2 linked regions of the Coturnix japonica genome follow. The protein of the gene in region 1 interacts with the protein of each later gene in a biochemical or structural test. Links are inferred from orthologs where the notes say so. Each region holds a gene or a part of one and is shown on either strand. Other genes may lie near its edges.

Region 1 (3,751 bases):
CCGAGTGCAGGAGCTGCGTGGTGGTGCTCAGGAAGATGGGGCAGCCAGCAGCAGCTTAGCAGAGGGATTTCAATAGTTATGCAAATGTCTGTCCTTGCTCAAGATGCTATCAATTAATTAGGCACCACTCTCACAGAGCTCTAATGGAACTAACACAAAAAGGGAGACGTTGACTTTGTGTCTTTAAGATTTCCCTGAACAAATTACAAGTCTTTGAAGTGAGGCCCCAGCTGCAATTATTAAGCTTCATCACAGCATTAGAAAGATTAAGATTTCATTTCTAGGAATTATTTCAGATTTAGACTCAATTTAGAGACATTATGCACAGAGTCAACAGATGCAGAGCAGGTTTAATCTCCTGCAGTACCCAGCCAGGAATTCCTACAGTGCAGACTGAAAAAGGTGGCACTGACACAGCTACAGACACATCAGCTGGCTCAGAATAAAGGGAGCTGCCATGACCAGAGGTGGCAGCAGAACTGGGGTGAAACAGGCTCACATGTGCTCCTCCTGAGCCAGATGGGAATTTACAGCCTGAGTGCCTTGTGTCACACCCAGCCAGTTGTTATCAGACCTTGAATCATGCTGACAACACCTCACCACTCTATGTCACCTCTGTCCTGCGCAGCATCACTCAGGAAAACACAGACCGTGCCTCAAGAGCTCTGTAATAAAGTTAAAGAAGAGCCAGGGAGATTAAATCTGCATAGCAAGGCTGCTCCAGCAGAGCTGGATTCCACCCAGATGGGTTCACTGGCACCGTGATCAGCACTGGTCAAAGAAGCCAGCAGTCAAGCAGGGCTAAACAGGACCCCAGACCATAAGCAGCACCAGCCTCCCCACAGCACCTCCCAGACTGCTCACCCTGCACACACCCAGCATCACTGGAAGGGTCACAAGCACACAGCACGAGGCTGAGATACCGAAGGCACAGAGGTGTGAGGCAGTTGTTTGTAATGGGGCAGGCACTGGTCTCTGTGGATGTGTTTTGGATACAGCCAGCAAGCAGACGAACCTTCCCTGAAGCTGTCACTGCACAGAGGAGGCAGCAACGCAGCCAGGGAGCTCAAACAGCCACAACTGACTCATGCAATGTGCCTCAGCAGCCACTCAGCCTAATCCTTTCTTCCCTGCTGTTGGGAGGCTTTCACACTGGAGGTCAAAGCCTGAGCTCCCCCATGCTCCAGCGAGAGCTCAGAGGTGTGAGCACGCTGCCCATGAGCCTCTCTCAGCTCCCCCAAGGGCTGGGCAGTCTCTGCTGTGAGGTCTTTGGCTGGGGCCACCCCATCAGGCAGCTGAAGGTGCACAAGGTACGTGTTCCAACCTGACTGGGAGCCCTCTTCATAAATGCCCTAATCCCAACATGAAACAACAAGTGGCCACTGTATGAAAGGAGAGTTACTGCCACCGCATCACCTCATTGTCAGCAGCCTAGAGAAGTGTGAGAGCAGAGCCCATAGACCTCAACCCTGCCAGGAGGGTAACAGCCAGGAGCTGGAAGTGACAGTAACTTCTTAATCCCTGGGAATGGCACAGTGTGCCCCAGTGCATTTCAGCAGTGAGATGTCACAAGGACAGACACCCTCCTGCTCACAGGGACCAGAGCTGCGATTTGAACCCACTGAGTTTTCCTTTTTAACAGCTGATGCTTTAACGTGGATAGAGATGGTTCGCTGACTCTACCAGAGCACTTTGTGATCTGCAAACAGCCACAAACGAGGCCCCCGGGGCCACACAGCCCCGGTGAGGATGAGCTGAGAGGCACAGACAAGGCCGAGCTGAGCTCGGTACGGACACAGGGCGGCGGGGCAGGGCTCACCACGACCAACCCCCGCAGCCCCGCGTTGTGCCGAGCAACGGGCCCAGCCCCGTGTGTGTCAGCCCCGACAACCCGCCCCGGGCTCAGGCCGAGCCCTACGACCCCCGGCCGGGCCTGGACCCCGCAGCAGGACCGGGACCGGGACCGGGGGGGCAACGGAGCTTAGGCCGCAGCCGTCACCTCGCAGCTGAACTCCATCTCGGCGTCCATGGTGACGATGCGCACCGTGAAGGTCTTGGGCTGCTTCCGTTTGAGCGAGCTGAAGCTCATTCGGGACGCGATGGCCCCGGCCATGATGCGGGCCGCGCTCAGCGCCGCGGGGGCAGCGCCATAACGGCGGCGGCGGCTCCGGGCCGCGCCGAGCACGGCCTCAGAGCGGAGACTCGCTATTGGTTCCGAGCTCTGATCGTCCCGCCCTCTCCCCGCGGGTCGCGCCGCACGGGAGCCAATCAGAAGCGGCGAGCGTCGCGCAGTGGGGTGAGACAGAGAGAAGGGAAGAGAGGGAGGTGCGGATTGGATGGAACGGCCGCTCGTCAAGTGGGGGTTGAGAAGAGGGCTTCCTGCCCACGCGTTGGGTCGGGGATGTGGCGCCCCCTTGCGGCCGGAGGAACGGGCAGCAACGGGACATAGAGGTACAATGGGAATGGAACCGGGACTGGGACAGCGGTACAGGACTGGGATTGGGAATGGAATAATGGGATGGGGCTGAGTGGGAATAATGGGGGTAATGGGACAGGATCACCAGCACTGGGATAGTGGGATGAGCACTGAAACCAGCACTGGGGTCATGGCACAGGAATAGGGACCATCGCTGGGGTAAATGGAATGGGAGTGGGTCACAGGGAATAATGGGATGAGACCAGAACCACAGCTGGGATGGTGGGGTGGGAATGGGGATAATGAACAGCACCGGGATAATGAAACAAGGGTTGGAACCAGCACTGCCATGGGGATAACGGGACAGTAACAGCACAACACGATGGGACTGGAACCAGCATCATGAAAATGGGATGAGGATTGAGACTGGCATAGGAGTTATGGGATTGGGATAAAAGAATTGGGGCCCCCTTCCAGGCCCCATCTCAGCATCACAGTGCCCCCGCATGCCACAGAATGGGGCCTCTGTGCTGTGGGGCGGGTGAGGGCTGAATGGGACCATTCATGGTGCCACCCCCCTCCCTCCAACCAGCCCCACAAGGACCCTATGGCTGACAGCAACGCTGCAACCCAAGTGGGCATGGGGGGCTATGGAGGGTCTGGGGGGAGCTGCAGGGGATGTGGGGGTATGAGGGAACCAAGGGGATGGGAAGGTACATGGGGAGGTGGGGAGGGGGCATAGTGGGTATTGAGTGTGTCCGGGAGGGGTCTGGGAGGCTGTGGGGGGTATGGAGGGGTCCAAGGGAACCCAAATTAGTAGAAGGTATATGGGGGAATATGTGGGGTGTAAGGGGGGATTAGAGGGGCATGAGGAATTAAGGGACAGTCTGGGAGAGGCATGATGAGCTGTGGGGGATATGGGGGTCCGAGGGAGTCTGTGGATCTATGGGATAGTATGTAGCTATGTGGGGGGCAGTGAGGGCATGGGGATCTATGAGGGGATATGGGGGGGACCCAAGGGAGTACTGGGGAGCTATTGAGAAGATTGGGGGGTGTTGGGGGGGAATGGGGAGCTTTGTGGGAGCATGGGGGGACAGGGGGCATGAGGGACAAAGGCAAACACAGGAGGGAGTGAAAGGGGACCCTGGGGAGTGGGGGGCCAGGAGGACAAGGCACAACATCACAGGGACCTGAGGGGACCCCTCTAAGCTCCCATCCCTGATAATGCCCCATGCCCAGCCCTGCCGCCCTGTGCCGAGGGTCCACACTTTTGGAAAGGGGGAGCAGGCAATGAGGAGAGACCCCCACATCCCCCCCACCATGCGGGGCTGGCTG
Region 2 (3,651 bases), on another chromosome or scaffold:
CCTGGAGAGTAGCAGTGTTCTCATGTTGCTGCATGCAAAGATTAGTGAGCTGGCACTATCATCCTACTTCCCTGACTCTGAGCAGTTGCTCAGTTGCAGATGGATAAATCTGCACACCCTGAGATCAGCTGCAAGAGATTCTCATTTACTTATCAGAAACTCAGGGAAGACTCCTGGGTCCAACTTCTTTAGAGAAAGAAAAACATCATCTAAGATTCCCTTTGATACAATTTCCTTTCTCCAAACAATAGTGCCGAGCCATTCCAGACAAAAGTCATGTTAGTGCAGGCACAGCTCTACAGGATGGCAATCCTGATCTGTATCTCAGCTGGCTGAAGGAGACTTTACACCCTCAGACAGCTGTAACAGCCCAGCTGAAAGCAAGTGCCTGGGAACTCTGAAAACCAGATCTCAAATACTGCTTTTATCAGGTACCAAACCAAGTGGGAATTAAAGCTGAACAATTTTCATGACTGAGCTTGGATATCACAGCTTCCCCAAAAATGATTAAAGCAAGCAGCTGCTGCAAGTGTGTTCCATTCTGCTTGCAGGCAGTTTTCCTGCATGCTAAGCCAGTCAATCTGTCTGTCAGATATCTACTTTCTGCTGTTCCTGCCTCCCCTATAGGCAGAGACTGGTGTATCTTAATCACCACCATTATTTAAAAATTACCTAGGCTGCCTTTCCAGCTCTTGTCCTCCCTCTTCTCTTCCAGGATGGGAGTGCTGCTCAGCGTGGATGAGTGGGACAGCAAGCCCGAGCCAGCATTTGAGATTGACATCAGTGACTTGGCAGGCCTCATGGAGGAGAGCTGGTCCGTCTTACCAGGCTCCTTCCGGGAGCGCTGCTGCAGGACTTTGATCATGGCGTCCTTCTCAATGATCTGAGCGTGCAGAGTCTTGATCCTTTTTGAAAAGGACAAAGGACAACAACATGCTTCAACTTCCATCACTTTGGACTGAGGCCTCAGCACCCCACAGCTGTGACTAGAACTCCCCTGGGCATTCAGGTAGGCATGGAGAGGACACCTCGAATACTGGCTGTTCTCTGACACTACACGGCATAGTGTATGAGGCCTCCTGTACATCTACATACAAAACTTCACTGAGACACCCCCTCACCTTTGGCTACTGGAAGCTGCTCTAAACAGGCAAGGAAGATGCTCTGAAGCAAAGCTGAGAGTTATGGGTGGGACATGAGGCCAAAAAAACAACAACAAAAGAATATTCACAAAGTCTGGGGAGTCTGCAACAAAAAATCCCTGCGATTTCCCCTGGGGAAAAACAACTCTGTGAAACAATAAAGAAGTGACTGGAACTTGGGGTCTGATGAAGACGGCCTGAAAAGAGAGGAATAAGCTAGGCACTAAATTGAAATACAGGTTTTGCATTGCTGTGCAGTTACTTCCTTGGTCAAACAAATGTCTGGCATTCTACATTGTTGTGACTGGTGAAGACACGTGAATTTCTGGTTCTGAGGCATCTACCTGAATAATTCATTTAAAATCCTTGTCCTAAAGTAGTCAAATAGGGACAAACTGCATTTTACCTTCCTTCCATGTCCAGACACCTCCTGTTGGCAAGCAGGATCTCTTCCTCCTCCTTCTGAATGCGAGCTTCCAGCGAGGTGTCATAGCTAGGGTTAGGTGAGTGGCTGATCACTGTTGTGTCCCTGGGAACAAGCAGTAGAGCAGATGAAGGGCAAACTAAGCATGCTGTTTTCCTCCTAGCGGTGCTAATTGATTGCTCAAAAGTAACAAGAACATCTACTGTTTCTGAGCCTAGGCTGGCTCAATGTCTTTTGAAAATCCCACTCCCAGGCGTAATGAAAGAAGGATTATAAAAATATGCAAATAATACTAACAACAGTCAACTTGCTGTCTATCTCAGGCCAGTCTATGATCTAACTGATGCACTGTGCTAACTTAAACAGACGGATGGGGCAAATCCAAGGGAAGAGATGGGAAAAGATAATATAAAATGTTAGTCACTTCTCTTCATCTGAAAAAGTACAAACTTTGCTTCAGAAGCAAGATTTTTTCCCCTTCTCTTCCAAGAAGTGGGTATCTGAGTATCGAAGGGAACTACGCACTAAAGTTTCTTCAGCATTTCTAAGCAACTTGATCCAAAAAACTTAAGAGTGGGCTGAAAACAGTTTAAGATCAATTAGTGCCTGACGTGTACACTGTAATGGTTGTTCATTCCATTAACCAAAACATGTCATCCTACTTGTTGCTGTACAGTCAGAATGAAGATACTGTGCTATGCTTTATACCACTGTATGATTCCTAATGCTTAAGAGCATGTTACTGACATAGCTATGTGTTAACATAGTATTAATTAAAAAAACAGTTGGAGTTACCAATAGCTGCAACTCATTGTAATTAGAAACTTACTCTCTTAGACCCAGCAGCCCTAAGAACTGACTGATAAATGTACATTTAACCCTGCAAAAGTTCAGACCAGGAACAGCAACAAATGAGTCTGAAGGGCATAGGAAGGTCACTCATCAAAGAACCCTAACGTGACCTAGATTCCTGCCTGTGCTGTAAAGCATCCTTCCTGCAACCCCGTCTTCCTAAGGGATGCTATTTTTCACCACCAAAGAGAAAGGAAAGCAAATTTGTGCACAGTGTAGATGAGGTTACCGTTGAAATTAGTGAAATCCCTTACAGCCTGTTTTTGAGAAGGCTATAATAAACTGCATGTAAACTGGCAGCGGTACTGATGGAACAGTTTATTTTAAGGGAGAAGGAGCTAGAAGGAAACGGAAAAGTAGGTTTGCTCTTTCCTGACTGGAAAGCATTCTTTGTTCATTTAACAAAACCCGAACAGGCCTAACACATCCCCTCTCACCCCATGATAAACAATAGACCAGACCTCTATTTATCAGTGCATGCTGAAAATATAACATAGCCTCGAGGGCCAAGCGGTATCAAAAGCCTTTAAACAATCACTGGGGAGGCAGAAAACAGTTCACAAGAAGCATCAATACCCCAAAATAACAGCATGCTTGGGGAGCAAGGTAAGTCTTTAACTGCTAACACAGCAGATCTGCAACTTTGCCCCTGTAATTTCAGTATGATCTTATGTGCTAGGAAGCCAGCTGCGATAACATCCCCATTTGAATCTCGTCTGTGAAACAATCTAAAATAAAATCTGCTGTTAAGAAACTGAAACTAGTGATCAATGAAATTACATGTAAGCACTACCTGAAGTTAAAGAGTTGCTCTCCAATAGCAGTGCTTGTTTACAAGCGAGCTGAAGACTTGGGCCTATTTATAACCATAATAACTGCTTCTATACAGCTGCATTGGAATGTGAGCTTGTTACCCAATTTCAGACACCCTTCCCTTCCCACTCCCACAAGAACTACTCTCCACACACAGCAGAATGTTTTGAGCAGAATTTCCTAGTAGATGCTTCTGGTTAGTAACCATGTGGAGGACAATACCACAAAGTAATTTGCAAAAACATTCTGGAGAACAAGCAAGCCATTCAGGGCGAACGATGTGAATCACCAAACTCACCCCATCCCACATGACTTCAGCAAGGACTGACTCCTGTTTGAAAAGAGAAAAAAAAAAAAGAAAAAAAACAACCCCAACAACGCTCCTCACACATCTATTTTTGAAGCAATAGCTTCTAGGAA

Evidence for each region.
Region 2: the proteins of NF2 (region 1) and AMOT form a complex in vitro, tested with the Homo sapiens proteins (2 studies listed by BioGRID and IntAct). The link is inferred for Coturnix japonica from reciprocal best matches to the Homo sapiens genes NF2 and AMOT.

The regions. Positions count from the first base shown.
Region 1 is NC_029530.1:9,911,222-9,914,972, forward strand, and holds the start of NF2 (merlin), read right to left. Parts: upstream 2,204-3,751; 5' UTR 2,114-2,203; coding exon 2,000-2,113; intron 1-1,999. Other genes in the region: NIPSNAP1 (protein NipSnap homolog 1), read left to right, coding at 3,707-3,751. UniProt on the Homo sapiens protein: Probable regulator of the Hippo/SWH (Sav/Wts/Hpo) signaling pathway, a signaling pathway that plays a pivotal role in tumor suppression by restricting proliferation and promoting apoptosis.
Region 2 is NC_029519.1:12,294,892-12,298,542, reverse strand, and holds part of AMOT (angiomotin), read right to left. Parts: intron 1,672-3,651; coding exon 1,549-1,671; intron 906-1,548; coding exon 673-905; intron 1-672.